Ovis aries: one gene and its partners. The protein of the gene in region 3 purifies or fractionates together with the protein of the main gene of each other region. This does not show direct contact. Links are inferred from orthologs where the notes say so. Each region holds a gene or a part of one and is shown on either strand. Other genes may lie near its edges. The genes, in order: RPRD2, RPAP2, POLR2G, MED1, MED9, GTF2B and MED26.

The links.
Region 1: the proteins of POLR2G (region 3) and RPRD2 purify together in Homo sapiens (affinity purification with mass spectrometry; 3 studies listed by BioGRID and IntAct, counting the BioPlex papers as one, with this or other methods). This does not show direct contact. The link is inferred for Ovis aries from reciprocal best matches to the Homo sapiens genes POLR2G and RPRD2.
Region 2: the proteins of POLR2G (region 3) and RPAP2 purify together in Homo sapiens (affinity purification with mass spectrometry; 5 studies listed by BioGRID and IntAct, counting the BioPlex papers as one, with this or other methods). This does not show direct contact. The link is inferred for Ovis aries from reciprocal best matches to the Homo sapiens genes POLR2G and RPAP2.
Region 4: the proteins of POLR2G (region 3) and MED1 purify together in Homo sapiens (affinity purification with mass spectrometry; 3 studies listed by BioGRID and IntAct, with this or other methods). This does not show direct contact. The link is inferred for Ovis aries from reciprocal best matches to the Homo sapiens genes POLR2G and MED1.
Region 5: the proteins of POLR2G (region 3) and MED9 purify together in Homo sapiens (affinity purification with mass spectrometry; 3 studies listed by BioGRID and IntAct, with this or other methods). This does not show direct contact. The link is inferred for Ovis aries from reciprocal best matches to the Homo sapiens genes POLR2G and MED9.
Region 6: the proteins of POLR2G (region 3) and GTF2B purify together in Homo sapiens (affinity purification with mass spectrometry; 3 studies listed by BioGRID and IntAct, with this or other methods). This does not show direct contact. The link is inferred for Ovis aries from reciprocal best matches to the Homo sapiens genes POLR2G and GTF2B.
Region 7: the proteins of POLR2G (region 3) and MED26 purify together in Homo sapiens (affinity purification with mass spectrometry; 6 studies listed by BioGRID and IntAct, counting the BioPlex papers as one, with this or other methods). This does not show direct contact. The link is inferred for Ovis aries from reciprocal best matches to the Homo sapiens genes POLR2G and MED26.

Annotation. Positions count from the first base shown.
Region 1 is NC_056054.1:100,508,208-100,511,707, reverse strand, and holds part of RPRD2 (regulation of nuclear pre-mRNA domain-containing protein 2), read right to left. Parts: coding exon 2,287-3,500; coding exon of another isoform or gene 2,280-2,286; exon of another isoform or gene 1-2,279.
Region 2 is NC_056054.1:69,554,721-69,558,220, reverse strand, and holds part of RPAP2 (putative RNA polymerase II subunit B1 CTD phosphatase RPAP2), read right to left. Parts: intron 680-3,500; coding exon 565-679; intron 1-564.
Region 3 is NC_056074.1:37,615,647-37,619,896, reverse strand, and holds the start of POLR2G (DNA-directed RNA polymerase II subunit RPB7), read right to left. Parts: upstream 2,801-4,250; 5' UTR 2,722-2,800; coding exon 2,710-2,721; intron 2,579-2,709; coding exon 2,469-2,578; intron 1,277-2,468; coding exon 1,117-1,276; intron 596-1,116; coding exon 545-595; intron 439-544; coding exon 373-438; intron 273-372; coding exon 72-272; 3' UTR 10-71; coding exon of another isoform or gene 1-9. UniProt on the Homo sapiens protein: Core component of RNA polymerase II (Pol II), a DNA-dependent RNA polymerase which synthesizes mRNA precursors and many functional non-coding RNAs using the four ribonucleoside triphosphates as substrates.
Region 4 is NC_056064.1:39,589,409-39,592,853, forward strand, and holds part of MED1 (mediator of RNA polymerase II transcription subunit 1), read right to left. Parts: intron 3,415-3,445; coding exon 183-3,414; 3' UTR 1-182. UniProt on the Homo sapiens protein: Component of the Mediator complex, a coactivator involved in the regulated transcription of nearly all RNA polymerase II-dependent genes.
Region 5 is NC_056064.1:34,574,073-34,578,019, forward strand, and holds the start of MED9 (mediator of RNA polymerase II transcription subunit 9), read right to left. Parts: upstream 2,801-3,947; 5' UTR 2,732-2,800; coding exon 2,511-2,731; intron 1-2,510.
Region 6 is NC_056054.1:66,095,862-66,099,361, reverse strand, and holds part of GTF2B (transcription initiation factor IIB), read left to right. Parts: intron 1-710; coding exon 711-992; intron 993-3,457; coding exon 3,458-3,500. UniProt on the Homo sapiens protein: General transcription factor that plays a role in transcription initiation by RNA polymerase II (Pol II). Involved in the pre-initiation complex (PIC) formation and Pol II recruitment at promoter DNA.
Region 7 is NC_056058.1:6,189,003-6,193,248, reverse strand, and holds the start of MED26 (mediator of RNA polymerase II transcription subunit 26), read right to left. Parts: upstream 2,801-4,246; 5' UTR 2,540-2,800; coding exon 2,468-2,539; exon of another isoform or gene 1-2,467. UniProt on the Homo sapiens protein: Component of the Mediator complex, a coactivator involved in the regulated transcription of nearly all RNA polymerase II-dependent genes.

The DNA of each region.
Region 1 (3,500 bases), on a different chromosome or scaffold from region 3:
TCAAATGGTCAGAGAGCCTTTTCAAGTAAACACTACTTTTAGATTACTCGAGAGCAGCAGAAAGAATTCACATTCTTTTATTCTAGAATGAAAAACATCCCACTTAATTTTCTGCAAAAGAAAAAAAAATCTATTTCAGTCTTGAGTTAAAACTTCCTCCCTTTAACCTCCCCCCACCCCACCCTCACACTCTCTTATGCTTTTCTCTAAACAAATGTCTTAGGACTCAGTATAACTGTATTGTTTCTTTGCTTTGCTACACTATATACCTCATCCCACTTACAACATTGTGGTATCATGCATTTTTCTGCAGGGAGAGCTACAGCGCAGAGGCTTGAGAAGGTCAAAGGACGAACAGCTGGCCTAAGACCAGAAATGCATTAGGAAGATGGAGGACTCCATGTTTTGGAGAGCCCAAACAAGTAACATGGAATAAGTTACACAAAAACTCCCAAACTATGATGCACACCTGGTTTGAGCTGCTCTTTTACCTGCAAAGCAAGCTTATTCTGAGACAAAGAATCATCTTCTGTCACTACACTGCCCACGCTCTCCCATCTGTAAAACTTCACCGGGTGAATCCAAAGCAATCCCTACACTTCCTACAGTTACTTCTACACTAACTTGGAAGAAAATATGAAACTTGCTAGGATTTCCTTTTATAGTCTTTTACTCTTCTGGCTGGAGATTACCAGTGTGTACTTTACGGTAAGACACTAAATTAAAAAATGTAGTAAAGCAACATTTGCTTTTCAGTGTCCCTAAACACTCAAAGCGCAGTGATTGTCTTTTCCCAGTACTAGCTGTAGAAATACAAATAAGGAGCTTTTCAGTTCAGGGAGAAAAAAAGCACTTTTTTTTTTTTTCATGTAAAATGACTAAGGGCATAAACATTTTCTATTGAGAGTGGGAGGTAAGGATAAGGTGTGAGCCTTGAAATGTGACAGGTCATTATCCACAGAGTGGGGTAAATTTAAACTAATCAGGTCCTCCTGTGTGTCTGCAAGGATATGTGTAACATCCATTTGTCACTAAGACAGAACTAAAGAGGTATAAAGAAAGATGCTACTAAACTACCTCCTTCAGAATACCAAGAGGGGTGAATACAGGACTAGGTCAAGGGTAAAAGATAAAGACAAATACTTTCCTTTCCCCATAGTTAACTTTTGGTGATAACTACCAACAAATGTTACATTAGGGAGGCACCATGGTAAAAATGTCTACTTAAAAAAAAAAAACACAACTGGGATAATATCAGAATGTTTCAGTTGCACCTCTGTATCTACTGTCAAGTACAGTGACTTTCTGGGTAGACTAGAAATGCAGACGAGAAAACTGAGGGAGAAAAAGTCAATGAAAAAAAAAAAGCAGCAGGAAGCAAGAGCTTGATGCCAGATATGTGAAACCACCTCAGAAATATGTTTATGACAGATGGCCAAGTCAGATCACACCATCAATGGCTCCTCTCTGTCTGTACTGCAGTTACTTATTCTTTTAATTTTAATATACCTGGCCCTCTTTCCTCTAATCAAAGGAGGAAAATTCCTTACTAGGATAAAATGAGGTCCGTATTTCCTTAAAGTTGTTGCCTGATAGAACCTCAGAAGAGGCTAAATTAAAAAACAAAGGCTTAGACTTTGGGAGAAAGGTCAAGAACTCAACTTCCACATGCCTTTTAAAACAAAAGAAAACCCTCAAATAACTTGACAGGTCCGAGGTCTCCCACATCTCCTCCCCTGCAACATCTCTTGGCTGTCCGCAGGCCACAGAGCACACAGGGAAGACAGCCAGACGGCTAACAGCAGGTAACTGAGCTGGAGAGAGAAGGGGACAAGAATCCCTCCATTGACCACGTGAGAAGCCAAGCCCCAAATGACATCCCAACATTGCACATGGTATTATCTGTACTGATGGAAGTTTTATTTCAAATGTAGTAATACTCTTCAATAGATGGGGGAAAATAAATTTGTTCTCCTCCCCACCCTTCAAACCCCCAGCCAAATGAAGTGGCTTTAGTTGTGTTTCTTTGGCCCCCACCCCCTTAAAATACAAACATCTTGGAAAAGGTAGGTATAAGTGCAGTGGGTGGGAGGACTGGATGGAATAGTGAAATGTAAGCATATAAACTTTTTAATTTGGAAGGGAGGTCCTTTGTCATAATAAAAAAAAAGAAAGAAAAAATAGGTCAAAGGAGGGAGAACAAATAAAAACAATGATAATAAACCAAACTCCTACTTCCAACGCTCTCTACTGTTCAAATGCCTTTCCCTTAGTTTCCATCAGTACCTGGGAGGGAAGAATGGGCGTTTTGGTGCAAAGAACGGAGGGCCCCTAGCGAAAGGTGGCCTGGGTCTCTTTAAACTGTGGAAAGGGTCTCTGCTGAGAAAAGGCTCCCTAGGCCGGAAGTCTGGCCGGGGACTCCGCAAGATCATACCACTCCGGTTGATGGCGTCTCTGTGCGAGGGACCCAAGGGGGGGCCACTGCTGCTGTTGCCGCCTCCCCCACCTCCTCCTCCATGGGCTGGGCCCAAGTGCTCCAAAGAATGGGAGGGCAGGCTCAGGCTCTCGCGCACACGGCTAAGGCCGGGGCCGTTGAGGTCCCGCTGGGTGGGGGCCCCATGGTCCCTGGGTCCTGGGAGCACCCCGAAATGATCAGCCAGGGTCCCCTGAAGGAGGGAACTATGGTCCTTGGGAAACACTGCCACGGCCCCCGCCACTCCGTGCTCTGCCAGTGGTGGGGCTGGGAAGGGCACAACCCCAGAGCGGTCACCAGGAGGTGGAGGAGGAGGAGGAGCAGAAAAGGGGACGCCACTCCCGCCACTGCCGCTATGCTCCCCGGGGGGCGGAGGAGGGGGTGGGGTGGGGAAAGGAACTCCGCCGTGCTCCCCAGGAGGTGGGGCAGCGTGGGCCAGGGCTGCCTCCTTTGCGAAGGGGTTCGAAAGATCCACAGAGGGTAGATGAGTAGGTGCATCTCGAGAGAAGATACCACCATGATCCTTAGGAGGGGCGGGTGGGGCAGATGATGGCCCCACTGGCTCTCTCTGGAAGGGTGTCCCATGATCCAAGGGGGATGGGGGGAGATGATGCTCAAATGTTGAGTTGAAACTGTTGGAACGGAAGCTGCCGACACTTTCCTGAAATTGGGGTGCTCGTTCTTTGTATGGTGCTGTTTTAAAGCCAGTGAGGCCTCCGCTGCCCCCACCCCCAAGGGATGCCAACTCAGAGGCACTTGAGGGGCCATTGTCAAAGGAGCCTCCTGAGGTGCTCAGATCAAACCAACCCACCCTGGAAGCCTCACGCCCATGTCCTCTATTTCCCTTCCCAGGGACTCGGATGGACTCTACAGTCTGTATTGGCTCGCCTGACATCCTCCTATTGGATGCGTTATGATAACCCAAGGTTTCTATAGGGGCCCCCTTCTCTTCGGTACTATCAGGCAAGTCTAAGCAGGAGGAGGAGACTCGAGTCTCTATGCGATAGTGCTCTTCTTGTTGCTGCTG
Region 2 (3,500 bases), on a different chromosome or scaffold from region 3:
CCTTGGAAGAAAAGCTATGACAAACCTAGACAGTATTATTAAAAAGCAGAGACACCACACTGCCAACAAAGGTCCATACATAGTCAAAGCTATGGTTTTTCCAGTAGTCATGTATGGGTGTGAGAGTTGGACCACAAAGAAAGCCGAGTGTCATAGAATTGATGTGTCCAAATTCTGGTGCTGGAGAAGACTCCTAGAGTCCCCTGGACTGCAAGGAGATGAACCAGTCAATCCTAAAGGAAATCAACCCTGAGTATTCACTGGAAGGACTGATGCTAAAGCTCTAATACTTTGTCCACCTGAAGTGAAGGGCCGATTCATTATGAGAGACCCTGACACTATGAAAGATGGAAGCAAAGCGAAAAGAGGAGGGCAGAGGATGAGTTGGTTAGACAGTATCATCGACTCAATGGACATGAGTTTGAGCAAACTCCAGGAAATAGTGAAGGATAGGGAAGCCTGCAGTACTGTAGTACATGGGGTCGCAAAGCCTCCAACATGACTGACTTAGCCACTGTACAAAACAACAACATACTATAGAAGTAATAATTTATCAATACATACACACTCCCTTAGGAATTCTTCTGAAATATTCTCCTCTAAAAGCTGTTCCACAATATGTAGAGCTTTTCTCTCAAACTCAATCTTCTTTCTGACAGCTGCTTCTAGTTCTGCTTTCCTAAAATTTTAAAAAAAAAATGGTATTTAAGTTATTCTACTTAAGTTTTAGCATAGCCATTTTCTACATTTTAAAATTAAACACTAACAATGTGCTATTTTGCTATTAATGTTAAATGTATATTTTTAAATGCTGTTTCTTTTGATACAGTATTTTTCAAAAGGGAAACAAACTACTTTTTATTGACGTCTGTCATAACAGGATTATTTGATTTCCAGGGCTCAGAGAACAAGGAAGAATTTAGAGTATCCTACAAAAAAGAAAATAGGAGGAAATCTTTTTTGCCAGATAAAACTATCATTATTGAAATGATAATTTATCATTCTCTATCATTTCTCTGAGCTTTTACCTAAAAATGGAGGCTTTTCCCTTGAAATCATTAGAAATCAGAAAGGAATGGAGAGGAAAAATATTATTTTGGTTGTTCTCTTAAATACAAATTTCTTTGTGCTAATTCTCAAATGTTAACTAAATGGCCAGCCTGGTTTAACAGGACAGAGTCATACTTGCAAAGAAGTATTTACTTACTTTGTTGTAAAGTCTTACTAAATAACTATACCGCTATGACTATATGGTTCTTTCTGGAAAACAACAATCTAGGAAGCACCAGTGAAAATCTGTCAGCCTTTGCAGGCCCCCTGCATCATATAAAAGCAGAGGCTATCTGATCAAAAAATGGTCCTAGGACAGTGGTCCTCAATTCCCGCCTCAGTGTAGATCATCTGATGAGACCTTTTTTAAAAAAGATACCATGCTCAGGTCCCACTGCAGGCTAACTAAATAAGAATCTTTGAGGATGGGCTCTAATTAATGGCGTTTTCTTAAAAGTGCTCCAGATAAACCTAGTGTGTAACAGAGTTGAGAACCAGTACCATGGAACAAAGATACCAAGTATCTTGGTGACTTGTTAGCTATACTAGTTTCTACTCCCCCACCAGAACAACCCTGCTGCCATCATGGACCTTGACTGCTCTCATATGTGGACCTAGAATGTACTCAGTCCTGAATATTCATTCCAAGGATTGATGATAAAGCTCCAATACTTCGGCCACATGATGCGAAGAATGGACTCATTGGAAAAGACCTTGATGCTAGGAAAGATTGAAGGCAGGAAGAGAAGGGGATCAGAGGATGAGATGGTTGGATGGCATCACCGACTCAATGGACATGGGTTTGAGCAAGCTCTGGGAGTTGGTGATGAACAGGGAAGCCTAGCGTGCTGCAGTCCATGGGGTCTAAAAGAGTCGGACATGATTCAGTGACTGAACTGAACTGAGAATGTACTCACCTTTTCTCCCTACCTTTATTGACTGCGAAGACTTTAGCATCTAATTTCTTGCCTGGAGCAATATGTTTTACAAAAAAACAATTTGGAGAACTGACACAAGACTGCCAGCTAGGGACAAATAAGGACATTAAAACAAGAATTCGCTAAACCCAGGGTAGGCAAGGCGTTAGCAGGGAAGCTGGAAGAAAACTCAAGGAGTCATAGTAAGTGAAGACCCATTTATTCTCTCCCGACTGCAACAACAGCTGTAGCAGCAGATACACTGTATTCTCTCCTCTCACGACTAACCCAGTGGACACAGCCCTAACGCAGCCAAAAAGCTCTTCAGGTGGAGCCAATATATGTTTACAGAACAAAAGTGGCCCATGGCCAAGTGGGTACATCGTGACGCGTGTGCGCGGTGCTCTAAGTTATCTCAGCTGTTACATGACCATGTATTTACAAAACCTGGGGTCAGAGCGAGATGTCCTGGGGCAAGAGAGCCTGACCACCACCACTTTGGTTAATCTGCTCTTTCCCTACAAAGAAGAAACTTGTAATTAACACCTGTTCTCCCACCATTTCATCAAGACCAATCTTACATCAAAAATGTAAAAAGGACATGGACACAGATTAAATATTCTTTGTACTGAAAAAAAGTTTTCTCTGCAGTACCAAACTTCTTTGTACTGAAAATATTTAGCTTTATGAAAAGCCTTATTTTTCTCATTTCACTGCTTACCAATTAAAGCTATGTCATTTACTAAGATCAGAATAGAATGTGCATTAGGAGTTCCTGATTTAAGGAGTTAATTACCTCAACCTGCAGGAACAGCAAACTCCTCAGAACTGATGAATATCTACAGCTGTTTCCCATGGACAGCCCTGTCTCAGAGCACCCTTCTATCCCACATGACACATGGTGTGGTCTACAGCAGTGGTACTCAAACTTCTGGGCATCAGTGGTCCTTAATAATCTTAGTTTTTGCTTATGCAGATTGTATCTGTTGATAGTTACCATACTGGGATTAAAGGTGAGAAAAATTTCAAGCACTCATGAACTCATTTAATAGTAATATATACATTACACGTTAACATATTTTTAAATGAAAACTTCAGTGTGAATTACGGAATTGTTTTATATTTTCACAAAGCTCATTATAATTTCTGGCTTAATACTATTCAGCTGGATTGAACGTAGAAGTATTTTTCAGTAGGAATAAATTCATGAAGGATCACTTCTCTCAACACCTAGTTGGTTACCCTCAAGGATCATCCTGGGTGATCTGCCTGAAATACGTTTCAGCTTATCTATATTCTTCACATTGTAGTACTTAGAATAAAAGATAATCTCCTCAGGCGTGTAATTAGATCCATGTTGAAGAGACCTGCAAATTACTATTATCATTATTAACTAAACTTTACTGTTGTATTATTTTCTAAAGCCAAGTATAGTCATTCTGCTCCACAGGAAAACAGATCTCAAATTCATCTGATTTCTCCACTCCCAAATGATCTTTATCCCTAACACCTTAACACTTTTGAAACTTAAAT
Region 3 (4,250 bases):
GATAGCAAACTGCAGGAGGAAAGGAGAAATGGAAATGAACCCAAAGCAAGCAGAGAGCTCTCCTCTAACCCTCAGCCCCAGACCTTCTGCCCACCCATCTCTTTTTCCGGGCAGAAGAGCACAAAATCCCCAAGAACTCTGAGTAGCAAGAATGCAACAGCTCGGCCTGGTATGAGCAGGGAGGCAGTCAGGAGACTCACGATGTCATTCTTGTCCACACGGGTCCCCACGATCTTCAAGCGGATCTCATCGTCCTGCTGAATCACAATGTCCTGGGGAGGAGGGAACAGTACACTCAGAAACCCCCAGGCCAATACCCTCCCTCAGAGTGGCTCATTCCCCTGGCCCTCTCACCAACTTCTGCCCACTCACCTCATCCATCGTTTTGTAACACGGTGGGTTGGAGTTAGGATCAAATTCCATCTCTGATGGGATGGACTGAAAGGAAGGTCAAACTGGGTAAGAGCACTTGAAAAGGATGCTTCAGTAGATTCTCATGAGTACAGGTCTCCTTCTTAGACCCACCCAGCGTGCCTAGACTTACGTGTCGAGAGATGAAGCAGGACATGGGCCCGATTTCTGTGAAGAGTCCAACCTAGAAGGGAAAAGAGAGACCTTGCTTTTTCTTTTGTCCCCCAGTCTCCTAAGCCTCCCATCTTTATCTGGTTCCTAACAATGTTCTTCATATTCTGAAACCACTCTGAAATTTGTCATGTGTGTGTTTGTTTTTCCAAGCTTTCATTCTAAGCTAAGGAAGTGTAGCAGTAAACAGCTGAGACCTAGAACTTGTCCTTCTGGGTTTTGAACACTTGTTGGACACGTGACCGTGGCCAGAAGACTCAACTTCTCCAAGCTTCAGCGTGGAGATAAAAGCACTCATTTCAGAGTCAGAGGCTTTGCACACTACCTGGTCCACAGTGGAGGCTACTACTGTTCTGACTCACTATTGACTTACATGCCCCTGAGTGAGGCAGTACCATACTATTTGACAGGTGAGGAAACCTGAAGCACAGAGAAGTGATCTGACCAAAGACACAGAATTTGACCAAAGTGGGACCCATCCCAGATCTTCTAAGAGAGGGACCTTCCCACTACCTCCCCTGTGGATGCTCTTACCTTGTTGACCTGAGTTACCACCGCATCCACGACCTCCCCTTTAAAGGGCCGGAAAACAATGGCCTTGTACTTAACTGGATAAAGGACAAAGCCTCGGCCTGGCTGGATCACACCAGCACCGATATTGTCGATGGTGGTGACGGCAATTACAAAGCCATACCTGCAAGGAGGCAGAGAAACTGAGACACTGTGTGTGGAAGAGCCTCTGAAACCATCTGCCACAGCAGGGCTTCCCTGGTGGCCCAGTGGTTAAGAAGTCCCCTGCCAATTCAGGGGACGCAAGTTCAATCCCTGGTCCCCGAAGATTCCACACGCCACAGAACAGCTAAGCCAGTGCGCTGCAACTACTAAGCCCAAGCCCTAGAGCCCGTGTGCCTCAACAAGAGAAGCTACCACAATGAGAAACCCACACACTTCTCATTTCTGCTGCGACTACAGAAAGCTCGTGCAACAACGAAGACCCAACGCAGCCAGGAAAAAAATACAAAAAAGCATCTGCTGCAAGAGTCACGGACCCTAGAGGTAAAGGGGGAGCACAGAGGGGGGAGTAGTCGGCCCCCTGGCCCCAGGAGAGCTTAATGATCAAGAGAGGAGACAGGACAATCAGCAGCAGCTATAATGCCAAACGCTGCTCTCATAATTTCACAATCAGTGTCCAAAAGGGCTGCAGTCCTTAATCTCAACCTTGGCGATGTCTCAGAATCACCTGAGAGAAACATTAAAATGCCTGTTCCCGGGCTGGTCCCCAGTCTTGATGCTGTAGAAATGAGATGAGGCTCAGGAACCTGTATGTTCAAAGAACACCTCAGCTTACTCTGATGCTGGATACCTGAGTACTCTGCGGCCCTGCTCCTCCCCCCTCATTTACTTCACCATGTGCGGAGCGCCTCTGTGCAGAGCCCAGAGATGGTCAAGTCTCACTCCTCTTCCTTCCTCCGGTTAACTCTCAATCTGCCTTATCCTGCCCATTCATTCATTCAACAAGCTTTTAGTGAGGCCCAAGATGTACCATGCCAGGTCCCTGGGTATGAGGGATAAAGAAAGGGCTGACCTCATTTTGTCTTTTTCACTGCATTGTTCCCAGGGCCCAGTCCTGGCACACAGCCGGAGCTTCAGAAATGTTTGCAGAGTTAATGACAAATGTTGGCTGAGGAAAGGCAGTTCTGTTATGGAGCTTCACAGAGGGCACCGTAGGAACCCAAAGCAGGAAGCAGCTAACTGCCTGGAAGGGTGAGAGGGCTTGCCAGGGTAGGTAGCAGAAGCTTTCACGGTGTGTAGGCGCTGGGAAGCGGGTGCAAGCATAGAAAGCCGTGTGCGCAGTGTTTAGGCGGCAGGGAGGGTGCGACACTCACTTGCCGGTGCAGGTCCCCTCCACCTCGGTGAAGAGCTTTTGTTTCACCGTGTTGAGCAAGTTAGGGCCGAAGTATCGCGGGTGCAGCAGAATCTCGTGCTCCAGGGAAATCTGGGGGGAAACTGGAATGGAGTCGGGCAAGGAGCGGGAGGAGTATGAGGCAAGAAGCCGCCCCTAGTCCCGGCCTTCCGCTTGCTCCTCCTCTTGACCCTGCCCTCGCCGCCACCCCGTGCCCTGCTCACGTGGTAAAACATCTTCCCGAAGGAAGCTGAACAGGAGCCGGGTCTACCGCTTCACGAGCAGCGGAGCCGCCACACCGACCGGAAATACAGCAACCTCTCCAACCCCGTTTCCGGGCCTGCCCCGAAAAGTGGGCGGGACTCACAGCCTCCACGGGTCCCCATTGGGCTTCGCTGTCGTGGGTGGGGAAACCCATGAGGCTCCTCCCCTCCGTCCAGCCGTCAAAGCGCCCAACTCCCTTAAGCATAACAGTATCTCGCATAGATTAGATGCTTAATAAATACCTTTAAAAGGAATTAATTAATGAGAGATCGCATAAATAAAGCGCTTTAGCAGAGTCTATTCATTCTGCAAAGAGTTGAAGACTGCTTTCACATAGTAAGCATAGTAAGAAGCTATCCTTATCTCAATTAATCTAAACAGCAACCCTACCCGGCAGGCTTTGTTATTACTTTCATTTACAAATAAGATACCAGGCTCAGAAGGGTGAGGTCACCCAGGGTCGAGATTCAAATTCAACATGCCTGACTCCAAGGCTCTTGCATATTCAGGCATTTATTACCGGGCTCTTGTAGTTTGGAGTTGAAACCGGCCTAGTCAGAGCCCAGAAGGCAGCGCCCCCTCCCGGTGTGAAAAGAACCTCAAGTCACTGCTCTCCTCTAACCACCCTCCCCCGCCCCCTTACACACAAGGGCCTGTAGAACTGGTGAGCAAACTTTACCTGTTCCTTCAGCTCTACCCCCCCCTTTTGCAGATAGTCCCTTTATTAAACTCAGCACAACGAGAATGAGCATGTAGTCTGTGGGCTGCTGAGTCTCGGAAACACCATGAGACCCGCCCCTATGACAAAGGCTCAGCAAGGGCGGCTGGTTCTAAAGCCTCCACAGTCCCTGGGGTCTTGAACAAACTCGCCTGTTGCCTGAGCAAGTTTTAGTATATTGTAAGCAAGAAAGCCTGATTTCCTTAGAGCTGTCACACACCGGTTTCCATTGATGCTGCCCATTTCCTAGAACGATTGAGGTTGTTGGTCAGCTGCTCAGACTCCATGGGGATCCCCTCCACCAGAGACCACATGAGGAAGCAGACAGCAGATCAAAGGGCAGGCCTCAACAGCCTCAACTCCCTCCTTCCCTCTTTTGAAACCAGCCTCCCCGCAAGAGCAATGGTGTGGTGTGCTGGAGACCCTTACAAAAGCCAACTGTTAATATTTCAGGCACTTTGCAAGCCAGTTGTTAAACACAGCAGTTATGAAAAATTTAGTTGTCTTAACTTATGATTAAATGAATTATACTAAAGAAGGCAAAGACGTAGATGAAACAAGTTTAGCAATATATTAATAATCGTTGAAGACAGATGATGGATAATGGTGGTTTCTTACACTTTCTTCTACTTTTCTGCGTTTGAAATTGTTCATAATAAAAAATTTGAAACAAGACAAAAGTAACTGTGATATTTATAATAAAAACACCAACACATATATACTTGGTCTTCTTCCCCATTTCTGTCACAGAACTCCTAAAACCCTTGGAATTGCCTAAATGAT
Region 4 (3,445 bases), on a different chromosome or scaffold from region 3:
CAAACCCTATGGTCTCTTTAGTAGGGTCCGGCTATGCCTTTCAAAATTCATCCCACTTGGTGTCAAAGCCATGCCATTTAAGATTCTTAAATACAAAATCAGACCTGTCTGACTCACTCCTTATGGTGATTTGCCTATACACTTAGTTCTTCTCTGGCCATATTTTTGCTTTAAATAGGTTCCTAGTTGCCAATCAGGGCCACATCCATAAGATCGTCATCTTCCTCCCCAATCATAAAGTCAGGGCTGAGCCTTGAGGGCCTGTCTGTAGATAAGATTGTGTTACTTGTCATAGACAAGGACTGGTCTGAAGAGATGGGTGATTTAGACCAACTCTCTGGCTTGATGCTATGAGACTTTTTCTTGTCTCGGTCTTTGTCCCGGTCCCTATCTTTGTCTTTTACTTTCTTCTTTTCTTTTTTGTGCTTCTTATGCTTCTCTGTGCTGTATTCTGGAAGAGGTCGGATGCCATCATCTGAGCTAGGACTGTTCTGATAAGATTTCTCTGCTATGGAGGAGCCTGACTCACTTTCACTGTCCAGATTCTGGGGGGTATATGCTGGTGACTTACTATGGCTGGGAGAGCCACGCTCATGCTTTGGAGTGGAACCACTGATGAGTGGAGAGCCATAGTTTTTGGAAGAGGCCATCTGAGGCCTAAGCCCTTCTCCACCACCTTCCCCAGGTTTCTGCAAAGTCACTTTGGCTTTAATGCTGGGGGATCCCCCATCATGCTTGCTGATGATAATTTTTGCCACACCCGTGCTCCCCACATTTTTAGACTCTGAGGTCTTCTTAGATGAATCCACTGAGCCCCCCGAGGTGGAAACCTTTGATTTGTCTTTATCACTTTTCTCACGCTTGCCCTGGAACTCTCCTCCAGACATGTTATGTTTGGAGGACACAGGATGGCTAGAATTTGTGCTCACCCCCATTTGGCCGTCCATTGGGTCTTCACCCCCAGGGCCACTGGTGACAACCCCATGCTTCAGTTTATCTATGACAGCTGTTAAAGACGGCTTCTTATTTCTGCTGGGAGATTTCCCTTTGGAACTCCCATGCTGGTTCTGAGAGGATGACATGGAAGAGCCACTTGAGGAAAAGGAAGAGGAAGATGCTGTACAAGAGTTAGATGATGGGGGAGTTTTCTGAGACAATGAGCCTGAGGATCCTAACCCTGAAGATGACTTCATGCCGGTGCTTGAACTAGTTCCAGACATGTGAGAACCACCAGAACCTGAACTGATAGGGGACTTGGCTTTAGAGGATGGGGGAGTCCCAGGAACAGGCTTCATTGGAGAGGCAAGCTTATCAGAGCCTCCAGGTGGCCTTGAATGGGAAGGGGATATGTTTGGTTTACTTAAAGAAGGATTCATAAGTGATGATGGCTTCCCTTGAGGTTTCATCTTGGTGCTGCTGGAGCCACTGCTCAGTCCATGCTTGGTAATAGGAGAGGAGCCTGGCTTTCCCCCAGACTGGGATGAATTTTTGGACTGGCTAGATCCAGAAGACCCTTGGCTAGAATATATACTGCTACTTAACTTAGAACTTGATGAACCTTCTGATTTACTGCTTTTCATCTTGCCTGAGTTGGAAGCAGAAGATAAGGAAGAATGGCTATGGTGGCTTTTACTTCCTGAGGAAGACACAGAACCACTGCTGGTATACTGACTGTGAGAAGAGGGCTTGCCCACCATCACAGTTCCCTTAGGAATCTGAATAGTAATTTTGGGAATGGGTGGTGTGGCCACACCTGGGGGAGTCTGAGATCGTCCTGAACTGCCTGGAGATTTGGATCCACCTGTACTAGTAGGTGGGGTGAAAGGTCGGTTAGAAGAACTGTGAGATGGAGACTTTCCCTCAGTGTCTGCCTTCTTCCGCTTTGGAGGCTTATCTTTGCTTTTGCCATCATTAGAAGGGGTTCGACTGCGCTTCCCTGGTTTGCTGTCTAATCCTGTCCCTGACAGACTACTATTACTGGCACCATTGCCTTCCTTTACTCTCTTTTGAGTCTTTTCTTTCCCTAAGTCCCCAGTGGTCAATAAAGGACTCTGGCTACCACTGTGATGCTCCATAAGATCTGTAGGACCCAAAGCCTTACCAGCCACTGCTATAATACTGAAATCAACCGTGTCAGCTTGGCTATTGCCTTTAAACTTAGTCTCCCCATTATCACCTCCAAGCATTGGCACCCCCAAAGTATTTAGTGCCTGAGATGCAAATCCTTTGAAATCATCATTATCTCCACTTTGGCTGCTTTCATCAAAATATTCTTCTCCAAAACCACTTTGGCTCTGGCTGTTCAACAAATCAGGATTGAAATCTACTCCATCAGGAAAAAAATGATTGGTAGGTGAGTCACTACTGGGGCTGCCAGCAGCATCTGCAATAAGGTCAGCTGGATCAGTGTATGGATTTTCATTATTATTGGCTTGAAAGACATCAGGGTCAAAGAGGGCACTCTGAGAATGCCCAGAGCTTGAAGAATCTCGAACAGGGGTGCCAATGGGTGGACAATCGTCACTAGTGCTGGGAAGCTTAGAAGCTTCTTCTGCAATGTCTGAAAGGATATCAGTTACATCTGGGCCAATGCTGTCTGAACTGGATAGTCGGACCATCCTTTGAATACTGGGTTGGGGGTGAGGTACTGGTTGCGGGTAAGTTGTTGGGGGAGTACTACACTGGCTTGGAGCTGGAGTGATGTGTGGCGTATCCAGCGTGTCAGCTGTCATGTTGACATCAAAGATAGGGTTTTGTGAGTCAACATCCATTGAAAATAGCTCCCTCTGAAAGTCATCTTCAGTCTGGTGCTTTGGTTTGTCAGGTGGTAATCTTGATGACTTCTTCTTCTTTGTCTTGTTGCTTCCCGAGCACATTTCCATCCGGGGTGAGCCGGAAGAGGAGTTCTGCCTTTCTAAAGGGCTGCTTCCATAAAGGGTTGAGAAATCCTGGGCAGGATTATCTTTAAGAAGGTTCATGAGCATCGGGTGGTTCTTGGTGTTGCCGGCCATCGAAGAGACAGGTGGCGGCGTGTGATGAGGAGGGGTCGGACTCGAGCCAATGGTAGACCCCCCGTTCCCTGTGATTTGCAACAAACTGGTAAGAATTGGGTTCTGAGATACCTTGCTGAAGTCCTCCCCATGGCCCACCGACTCATGCCGATCTTTGATGCTCATGCTCATATTAAACAAGGTGGTAATGGGACCCCCCGGAAAGGTGTTGGTTGGTGTAGTGGTACCACTCATTGGGTTGTTGCCTGTGGTCATGCCATACCCTGGGCTGCTAGCCGGGGGCAGGTTCTTTTTCACCATGTCTTCAACTGTCTCTGCAATGAGGGACAGTGCTGGGGTGTCGGCCTGAATGGTTTCAGCTTTCCTCCGAATAGCCCTCATCGTCACAGGAATCGACATACATCTGTAAAATAAGATGGAAAAAACAAAATGAA
Region 5 (3,947 bases), on a different chromosome or scaffold from region 3:
AATCATTCCATTTGGATGGCATATGTGCTAACACATTGTTATGAATTTAAGTCCCAAGGCAATTTTGAAATTAAATTATAGTTTTAAGAAAACTGATTCACAACACATAAGTCTGAAAGGACAAGGTACAAACAAACAAAAAAAAAAATTTTTTTTAAACAATAAGGTTCTACCATATAGCACAGAGAACTATACTTAATAGCTATGATAAACCATAATGGAAGAGAATATTTTTTTTAAAAGAATGTCCATATATGTGTAACTGAATCACTTTTCAATTTGTTTTGACAAAAATGTAACCACACTACACACATGGTTCTGATTCTTGGTTCTTTTTTCACCTGAAATGCACCTCGGACAGCTAGATGACATGGCTGTTACGAGTATGTGGATGTTTGTAACTGATCACCTGCGGTCTGAATGGGGATGACCATCCCACACCTGCACCTGTGTGTGCTGGGCACCCACAGTCCCCTCAGTCAGTGCTGCAGCTCTGCCTGCCACCACCTGCAGTTCATCCCTGTTCCTCCTCCTACTCCCCAGCTTCCTGTGGACCCCAGTCCTCTCCTCCTCCTAAAGCCCTCTGTCCCATCTACCTTCACAAAACCCAAGCACTAGCTCAAAAACTTCGGATGACTCCTCGACTCCCTGGTTCAGTGTCTCTGGGGTCAGACACCCAAGAGAGTCTATTTTCTTTGGCTGTCAGTTGAGAAGCTGGGGACAGGAAAGGGGAGGTATGGGTGAAGGGTGGGGCTGGGTCTCAATGTCCAGTCTGTGGACTTGCTCTCAAGCTCCTATTCTCAGTATGGCTCCCCTCCCCCAGCTCCCACAATGTGCCTAGTGTTCCCCAGTCCAGACACTCTGGCTGACTCTCTCCTAAAACAAATCTTGGGAAAGTACAAGCCTTTAAGCTGTCTGACCAAGGTCATTCAGCTGGTACCTTATAGAGCTATCATCTGTGGTTCATTTTTGGATGGCAACACCTATTCAATGGACATGAGATTGAGTAGACTCTGGGAGATAGTGAAGGATGGGGAAATCTGGTGTGCTGCAGTCCATGGGATTCCAAAGAGTCAGATACAACTGAGCGACTGAACAAAGAACAATTATTACTCATATATTAGAGATAAGAAAATCAAGGTCTAGAAAGGCTATGCACTTAACTAAAATTCCAACACAAGCAAGCATCAACATGCAGATCTGAACTCAAGAAGATCTGACTTCAAAGCCCATGTTCTTTCTCACAGACAATACAGTTCCATCTTTAAGGCCAGCCCAACCCAACTGCTCTATCAGGGTCAAAAATAGACTCGGAGAACACTGTGTGTTTTCATTTTTCCGTATTTTTTTCTAAAACCCGAATAAGCATATTTGGCTTGATCCTGGATAATGCCTGGGACTCCAGGGCTGCTTCTGTGTGTGTTTGCTTGGTCACTCTGCCTAGAAGTGCTACCTGATCACAGGCTCCTGGGAATAGAACAGTTTGCCTTGCCCGATAAACACTATGTTCACACCAAGTGAAGCCAGATGAAGTCAAGGTCTACTGTGACTACTGTGAGAACAAAGTCTTCACAGTCGTCTGAAAAGCAGTGGAAGTGTCAGGTCATCCCAGGGCAAGTGAATCTAATCCGCCTCAACTCTAAACCGGCTAGGCCATCACCAATACTTTTGTATTGTGAGTATCAATTCCATTTCAGCAAAACATCCAAGAGCATGTTGATGTTCACTTGAATGTTACTGTAAAAATAACAACTTTGTTACTGTAAAAGATTACAACTTTGTTGTAATCCACTTTGCTTTTATTTTTTAATGGCTGAATAAAAAGTTCAAGCCCAGGGGTTTAAACTTTGCTATCATGTAGACATAAATAACAGTTAACAATAATTTGGGCAAATGTGGGGATTGGGGAGATTTTGGCTGTGTGTGTGTGTGTGTTTTCCTTCTAAGGATAAGTTTGAAAACTCAGGTGATCTGAAGACTGGCCAAAAGCAGACAATCACCCCGTGTCGCCGGGACAGGGCACCCCAGTGCTGTCCGGAGGGCAGCGTCCTACTCCTGTAAAATTCCCAACATCACCCCTATAATCTCTTTGCATTATGGGTTATTCCGCTCATTAGTTTCCCCTTCTAACTGGTGAGCAAGGTGGGGATGAAAAGTCGGCCCCTCCACGTGTACACGCCACAGCACTTAGCAGTGTGCCACACATGGAAGATGACCCGTATCTGTCGGATCTGTGGGAAAACAGGCTCACCAGGCTGCACCCCAATGGTCTGCCCGCAGCGTCTGTGCACTTGCTGTCTACATCGGCTTCGTTTTAAGAACGCTGCTTGCCAGCACGGGGCCTGGTAACTCCCAGGAGGGAATGCTGAACTCTTGGGACTGCTCGCGGTGGCCTCGGCGTGGCCGCTCCCCTCCGGGTGTGTCTCCCCCTTGGTACCGCGGGGCGCCCCTGGATTTTGGACATGTGATGGGCAGCGGGGGCGTGCGGGCTGATTCCCCCGGGCCCTTACCATTTGATGATGCTGTGAACCAAGGGAAGGAAGGAGCAGTTCTCCTCCGCCTTCACGCCGGCAGGGGATGGAGGCTTCGGCGCGGGCTGCGGCTGCTGCGCAGAGACAGACGGCGGCGGCTGCGGCTGCGGCAGCGGCTTCATCTCCGGCAGCGGAGGCTCTGCGGGCGGCGGCAGCGTGTCCTCACCCTGCCGGCCGGCAGCAACCCCCACAGAAGCCATCGTGTCCCGGACCCCAGCAGCCGATCAGGGGGACAGTCGGCTTCGCGCGCCGGAAGTGTTGCTGATTATGACGTCACCATCGTGCGCCGCGGAGGCGGGGCCGGGCCTGGCGGTCGTTACTAGGCAACAGGCGGCTGGTCCTTGGTAGCCTGGATTTGGTGGTGCGCAGAGACAGCTAAATTTTTCAAAAGTCAGAAATAGAAGGTATACTTCAGGAATAACATCTCATTCCTATTCACGTTACAAAGAGAATCCAAAAGCAACCTGTAGAGGAAGATAAATGGGGCCTCAGGAAGAGTGGACAGCACCTCCGCACCTGCGGGTGTCAGGCCCTGGGCCCGTGGAGGATCCGAGGGGAAGGACCCACGGCTCCCACCCGCGCAGAAGCCTCCAGGGACGAGGTCTTGCGCCTACCCTATGGACCCTGAAATAAACCGAACAGTTAATATGCATCTTCTGGGTGACACACGCTGTGCTAACTGTGGGGGAAGGGTGAGGTCTGTCTCAACTTACTCCGAGCAGAGATGGCCGAAGGGGATTAGTACCAGGAATAAATACTGTATCCGAGGGAGAAGTCAGTGTCAGCTACTCTCCGTACCTGTGGGCCAGCTCCTGAAGCCCCCGGTCTCAGTGTGCTCACCTCTAAAATCTTTAGTTCAGGGTCATGGCAGAGCCCAAACCACTTTCCAACTTCAGACACATGGCTGACCTTTGAAGGTGTCCTTTGCATGAGCCCTGGGCTCTTAGGCGGAGAAGGCAATGGCACCCCACTCCAGTACTCTTGCCTAGAAAATCCCATGGATGGAGGAGCCTGGTAGGCTGCAGTCCATGGGATTGCTAAGAGTCGGACACGACGGAGCGACTTCAGTTTCACTTTCATGCATTGGAGAAGGAAATGGCAACCCACTCCTGTGTTCTTGCCTGGAGAATCCCACGGGCGGCGGAGCTTGGTGGGTGGCTGTCTATGGGGCTGCACAGAGTCAGACACGACTGAAGCGACTTAGCAGCAGTGGGCTCTTAGGTCAAAGTAGGGGACTCCTGGTGGGTTTGTGGGTATGTTCCTCAAAACAAGCCCTCCCAAGCCACAATGAGGGGGCTGTGTGATGGGGAGTGGCATCCTAGTTGGGAAGTACCCCTCTACTGAAGAGCAAGGTGGCCGGTGCCAAGGAAGCATCAGTGCTGGTATTTCAGAGGCATCTAGGAGGAGTCTGTAGAG
Region 6 (3,500 bases), on a different chromosome or scaffold from region 3:
GTTTTCATTTTTAGCTAGGTTGAAGGCTTTGATAGAACTAATATTTTTCATGTAGTTTTCAGTTTATGCATGAAAACATTACAGCTTATTCAATGTTGCTGTGATACTTGGACATTTTAGCTTGACTATAATTACCCTTCATTCATCCAGGAATATTTTATATGTTGTTTTCTTGTGTCACACTGAAGAGGCAGTGGTTCTTGCAGCTAAAACTAAGACTTCTGTTAAATTTATTCTTAGTGTTAGTTGAAATTTTAGAACAGGGTCAAATAGTTGATCACATTTTGCTGTTGTCTGTAATTGCAGGGATTGCGTGTATGTATGACATTGTGTAACTTGAGAGGCATTCTTTAGTTTGAATATTTTCTTTCATTTTCCTGATATACCCCTTATAACAGATTAATACATATCAAAGAAATTTTTGATTGATTGAAGAAACTTGCGTGAATTGAAACTTCAGAGAAGTTAATATTTTGAAATAGTAAGACCTACATTTAGCTTTTTCTTTTTTAAAGGTGTTGTAAACATTTAAATTAATTGAGAAATTTTAAATTAGTTTTGTGAGAAGTATCACTGAGAGAATTAGATTGATCTTCAAGGCAGGATAGAATTTTGCAGTATATTACTTTTGTAATAAAAAATGATAGATTTATAAGGTGAACTACATGGCCTAGGTGGATTTATTTATTTAAACTTTTTTTGTCTTTTAGAAATATGCGCTGTATCACGAATTTCTAAGAAAGAAATTGGTCGATGTTTTAAACTTATTCTGAAAGCTTTAGAAACCAGTGTGGATTTGATTACAACTGGGGACTTCATGTCCAGGTTTTGTTCCAACCTTTGTCTTCCTAAGCAAGTACAGATGGCAGCGACTCATATAGCCCGTAAAGCTGTGGAACTGGATTTGGTTCCTGGAAGGAGCCCGATATCTGTGGCAGCAGCTGCTATTTACATGGCCTCACAGGCATCAGCTGAGAAAAGGACCCAAAAAGGTAGGATTCTTTATCAGGAAGAGTATTGGTAAAATTGTGAAGGCTGTAGTATGTGATTGTATGTCCATTTTAAGTTATGAAGCAGGTACAGCCATACCTCATTCTGTTGTACCTCACAGACACTGCATTTTTTTTTTAACTGATGGAAGATTTATGGCAATTCTGTTTGTTAGATGATGGTTAACATTTTTGTTTTTTAGTAATAAAAGTTTTTTTTTAATTAGGGTATGTGCGTTCTTTTTTTAGACAAAATTATTTTGCACGCTTAAACTACAGTGTAAACATAATTTTTTATTATGTACTAGGAAACCAAAAAATTCATCTGTTTGGCTTTATTGCAATATTGGCTTTATTTTAGGGGTCTGGAACTGAACCTGCAGTTCTCTGAGGTGTGACAGTAAATATCCAGAGCCTGTGTTTAAGAGGTAGTTCCTTAGCATCAAAACTTAAGAAAATACAATATTTTGCTTTTAAGTGGCTCATAAATAAAAATATTTTGCGGGCATAACCCCGTGTACTTAACTTTTTTGTTCATTTGAATTAAGTAATTTTAGTTCATGCATTTTTTTTTTTTCATTTTTAGAAGTTGTTTTTATTTGTATCCCCTAAATATTTCTGGCTATTTGGAATAGTCTTGTTTTTCCCCACCTCAAAACTTACCTTTTAAGTCTTGATAGGAGGCAGCCATGCTTTGTTTCTCTGGAGCTGGCATGAACCCTACAGATAGGCACACTATAAATGTGTGCTGAGCATCAAGTTTTACCTTTCTGTGAAATCTATTCCCTTTCTTCTTTTGTATGCTGTTCACAGTTTCTTCATGAAAATACTGTTCAGCCTTCAGCTATTTTTAAATTTACTGTTGTAGAACTTTCAGACAAATATTAAGTGAATTTCTTTATAAGCATGTATTTGTTAATTCTGTGATCCTCAAAAAGATTTATAAAGAAAGAGAAGCTGTGTGCTGTGCTCTGCCCAGTCACTCAGTTGTGTCTGACTCTTTGCGACCCTTTGGACTGTAGCCCAGCAGGCTCCTCTGTCCATGGGATTTTTCAAGGGAGAAAATAGTGGAGTGGGTTGCCATTTTCTCCTCCAGCACAACACACAGCATTCACTAATTAATTACTTCTGTGATCCGCAAAAAGTTTTATAAAGAGAAAGGAGCAGTCAGAAATTTAAAAGTGAGGAAGTGAAATTACTTGCTGCATAACTGAATGCCCTATTCAGAATAGCCTTTACCTCAGCTTAGGCTGTATGCTCCTATGTTGATAAAAGTAGTAAATTATATGAAGATGATTAGACAGAAGCAGCCAGCCATTAGGTATTTAAATGTGCCATTATCCATTCCCTTTGGGCTCCACTTGAACTTTTCAAGAAAATTTTGAGTCTTCTTGGAAAATTGAGAAGCTGTGGCTGGGCAGATTGTCCTTACCTTCATTCCTATTAATAGTTGTAAAGTTTATTCTAATCATCTTGACACTTTCTGTTTGTGTTTCACGTGACGGGTTTTCTTGAAATATAAGGTCCTTTCTTTCCCTGCCCAGCAGCTAGTTGATATACATACAGTTTATATTCATTGGTATTTATGTCCAGAAAAATAGAATGTAACATAAGGTAAGGAAATTTAAAATTATTTACTGATGGCTGCATCCACACTTTGAAGCCATAAAATTTCACTGATATCGAACTGGATAAAACTCTGAAAAGATAAAATGAGGTTGTATTAAAGGGTGTGTTTAAAAAATCTATTTTGATTAAGTATAACTAACCAAATAATTGTCATGTGGCAGTCCTTTGGGACTTCATTTAGAAAAAGAAAAAAGTCATACTTGAGTTTAAATGGTAAATGCAGATCCTTGGATTCTTGAGTATAGAAATAACTCAAATGAGCTCAGTATATATGCTCCAGTATGTGTTTATAATAGTGAAAACCATCTATATCATGCTGTAATATATAGCTATTTGATCTCAGATGTGTTAAATAGAAAAAAGAGTTTTGAGAAAAATATTTATAGTGTGATCCCACTTGGTTTTAACCTTATAAGAACCTCTTAATAGAGGTTTGCTAGGGGAGATGTAGGGGAACTTTAAAACACAGAAATAATAAAGTGAATTTCTTTACAAGAATGTATTCGTGGATTACTTCTGTGATCCTCAAAAAAATTTATTGTGAAGAAGTCCATTCTAAATACAGTAAGCAGTATAATAGTTATCACACATTCTGCTATGCCCCGAACTGTTCAGATGTTTTACATATAGTAAACTTTTTAATGTTAATTCAACAATCCTTCAAGATAATAGATATTGAGACCATTATTGTTACTATAGCGCTACTTTCTAACTGTTAAAAATAGTTTTGTTTTCATTTTCACTTAGACATTTTATACCACCAGGTCCCAAAATTAGAATGCAGGTAGAAGGGAGTTAGGACGGAAGTTATACTTAATACTTTGATTTTTGTCTTGTAGAGATTGGAGATATTGCTGGTGTTGCTGATGTTACAATCAGGCA
Region 7 (4,246 bases), on a different chromosome or scaffold from region 3:
CTCCAGAAGCTAGAATTTAGAGCAAAGAACTTTCCTCTTAAGAACTCTCTTTGTCAGGGAGATGATCAGAAAATGTTACTTTGTTACTTCCCTAACTTTTTAGATACTTGTGGATATTAAGTCAGCTCCCTGACATTGACTTTTCAAGCAAAAGTTAAGTTTGTTGTCATAACTGCATGCCCATAAAGGTAAGCATTAATGACACAATTCTCAGTCGCTTGTCTCAAAAGAGGTTTAATTTTAGTGTTGGCTCTTCAACGCTGTCCCCATTTTTATTTTCCAGGAGCATCTTAAATATGTGTCAACTAACTATGCAGAAGTGGAGTTTCTACTTGGGTAAGGCAGAGAAGAGCAGCTGTGTGCTGGCAATGCCTTGATGAAGCCACCTAGCTCTCACCTGGGCCCAGTTCAATCAAGAGAAACTGCAGAAATATGGTCACACCATCTCTACCGGCAACCTATTCCTCCACAGCTCTGAGTTTCTCCGCGGAGTTTGCTCCAAGCCACACTCCTGTCAAATGGCTTGTAACAACACCCAGGAACATCACTGACAACAGCAGCATTTAAAGGAGGCACTTTCTCATCACTCATATTCAGAGACAGTACCCCGATTTTATCCACTACACTTACATCAGTAAGACTCTGAGTCGTCCCAGAGAAGCCACGTGAAATGTGCACTCCATGATACGGAACACATCCATGGGCTTGGACCCTCTTCCTCCTGTTCTCCTAGGAACCCTTTAGAGTCTTACAAAACACTGGAACCCCTGAGGTCACCGCCCCACCTAATCTACAACATGGTGACTGCCTGTTAAAGCGCCTCCTGATCCCAAAGCTCTCCTAGGTGGTATTAGGATCAGTGCTAATATCTCAGCAACCATTCAGAATCTCTGCAAGGCAAACAAGCACATGGAATTCGAGAAATTACACTCTGAGGTGAAAGTCATCAAGGCTACATTTTTCATTTCACTTGTTTTATCCTCTACTTTTTCAGTCTTGGGAATTGCTGCAGCACCAGTTACTGCAAAAATTCTGCAAGGTTTTATATAGCTTGTGCCTACTCCACCCCCAAAGTCATAACAAAAATGTATACAACATTTGTTAAAGACAAGTACCACCAAGTCTATCTTCATGGGGCCTGAAGACCAGGAATTACTTATGATACAGAAATCAGTCTTATAAAGATCACAACTCCTCTCTTTCTACCAAATTTGTACAATCCAACCATGAATTATTCCCACAGTGCTGGCTAAAACCTACTGCTAAAAGTAATCAGCAAAACTCATGTAAAGGAAAAGCAAAAGTCCCCACAGTGACAGAAACCTAAGTTACCTGGCCAAGCCGAAGATGGTTTATTTCTTCCATCCCCAGCACATTAAAGTGGTTTCAATGGCCACTTCCTGGTCTCCCAGGAAATGCAGGGGCTCACTTCATACCTGGATGCTACAACATCTTGCCATTGCTGAACCTGCTCTGGCCACAAGGGAAAATAACCCCTATCACGGACAACCACTCAGAGAAAATATGAGAATTAGATAAATCCTTCCCAACACACACGGTGAAGGGCAGGGGAGATCCCTCCACAAACAGCAGCCTCAGTGGAGCAGCACCTGAGAAATCGACACCCTGGGGTTAACCCTGACTGTCTAGGTCACAAACCAACAGGCTAGGGCCCCACGTAGGGGGCACACGAAGAAGGGCTCTGGGTGGAATGGGAGAGCACATAATCACCTCTAATTCACTACCCAAAAGCGGGGCTCTGCCTTGGTCTGATACGCAAGGAATACTTAGGCCCAGAAAGGTAATAGGAAGAATCCCACTCTCTACAAGATCATCTTCCGTTGGCAGCGACCCCAAGAGAGACCCAGCGAAGCAAGTCCACTCTCAGAACCGAAAGGGACTCTCCACGAGCCTTGGGCACCCGGCTAGGTGTAAAGGAGGCCAGGGGGGCTCCCTTCGAAGCCAGAAAGGTTCTTCCAGCCGGGAGGCAAGGTAAATAAGACTTCCCTCCTCATCGATAAGGCCGAGACACCGGCGGCACGGGCTCCCCGAGTCCTACCCCGGACACCAGTTGCTCACAGCCTTTCCCCCTCCCCTCCCCCCCCGCCGGGAGGGCTTCCCGGGGGTCGCGGGTACTATGGTAAGGGCGAGGTGGGCAAGCACAGTCAGGAACAGCAAGGGTCGTAGAATTAGGGTGGATGAGGGGGAAAAACTCTAGTCTCAGCTCCCATCTGCTCCCTTCGCCCAGGCCGCATTAAAGCCTCGGCCTCACGTACCGAGCGCTGCCGGGCTGCCCGACCAGCCCCCGGCCCGGGCCCGGGGGAAGAGAGACAGGGATGGCAGCGGCCCTCAGGGGCAGCTGGGTGTCCGGGGGATCCTTCGGAGCCCGGCGGACTAGGAGCACTAGGGAGGGGGAGGGTCCTGGGCCCACGCGGCCTCCACTTTAACCCGTGTGAGGAGTACTTACGTTGCTCTGGGGGTCGATGGCCTGCAGCAGCCGGTCCCTGATCTGCTGCGGAGACGGCGGAGCCGCTGTCATTGCCTGGGCGAGGCGGGGGGGGAGCGGCCGGGCCAGCGGGCGGGCGGGCTGAGGCGGGGAACCGGGGTCACTCACTCGCCGGCCTCCGGGAGCGGAGCCTCATGTTCCCCGCGGCGCCGGGGAAAGAGGGGGCGCGCGGGGTGACGGAGAGGTGAGCCGGGGCCGGGGCTCAGGCCCGGGGCGCCGCCACCACCAGAGGAGGAGGAGGAGCCGCCGGAGCCGTCGCCGCTGCTGCCGCCGCCTCGAGAACCAAACTCCAGTGAGCTACCCCCGCGCGAAGCACTCTGGGTAACCCGCGCCGCACGCAGCGTCGGCGCCACGCTGAGGAGGTTGGGAGATAGGGCGGGCAGAGACGCTGAGTCTGGGCGGGGCCACCTGCAGGCCACGCCCCTAGACTCCACGCATGCGCGCGCAGGCGCAGTCGCCCCCACCTCTGTTCCGCCCCACCGCTTGGCCCAGGGAGCCGTTGGGAGGCGGTTGGGCGGGGCAACGGCCGCCGCCTGGAGGCCCCGCCCCCACCCAAGCCTGGAGGTTGAGGGGGTGGCGGCAGGAGGTTTCCGACGGAAACGCTAGGTGAGCGCCGAGTCCTTGAACCCTGGCGCTCTGGGCGGACAGGGCAGATGAAGGACCTCACTCCTAGGGTAGAAAAGCTTTTCCCATTCTGACGAAGATGACGGGAATCGCGGGCGGGAGAAGCTGCCAAGTTTCCTGCGCCCCGGGGTCCTTCCCAGCTCCTCTGCGTTCGGGGAGGCCAGGAGGCAGACGTCCACGTTGTAATTCTGTGCGCGGAAGGGTCAACTGAGGAGCGCTGTGGGACGCTCCAGAGGGGGCGGTGCGAGTCGGGGGTCTGCAGCGCCTCGGGCTACGATCCCCAAAACATGAGACAGCAAAGTGTCTCACGGAGGAGCCGCTACCGCAGCTAGGAAAGCCCCGAGGCCGCATGAGTTGACACCAACGTTGCAAACCTGTGTCCACTCCGGCGTTTCTCAGCCTGGGCACCAGTAACATTTGGGGCTGGATCACTCTGTTGTAGGGCCTGTCCTGTGCGTTGCAAGATGTTCGGCAGCATCCCTGGTCTCTGCCAGTAACACCCTTTTCCTGCAGGGGACCAAAAATGTCCCCAGTCACTGCCAGAGGTCACCTGGCTGGTAGAATCGACCCCTGTTGAGAATCACTGGTTTAAAAGACCTTCCCACCCTGCTTTGCATGGTGGTGCTGGAAAACTGAAACACCCTTACCAAGGAGGAAACTGAGGCCCTAGGTCACCCAGAGTTACCGATCAAACCCAGAACTGTTAAATGTCAAGTCTAAGGGCTTCTCCTGGCCCCTCGCCTCCTCATTGCCTTCTTTCATTGCCGGCTCTCCGTGGAAGCTCTTATTACATATACGGTTATGCAAACGGGTAAGAAAGGCAGGTGAGTGAGTGGATCATTAGCCGCAGCCTCGAGAGAAATAACTTTTCTTCTTGTTACAGGAAGACCTACATTTAAAACAGGAGAGAGGCAGCTGATGAGAACCACATGCGCGCCTCGGCGGCTCTGTGCTACACCTGTTAGTCTTCCATTTGTCATGCTTCTGGGAAGCGTTTTTATTTGCAAAAAACGGCTGCTGCCCCACGTGGTTGTGGTTGCCTGCTCCTGCACGTGTGAAAAGTTTTACATCACACTTGTAGGATAAAATAAATATGGGCAAATTACCTCGCTTTAA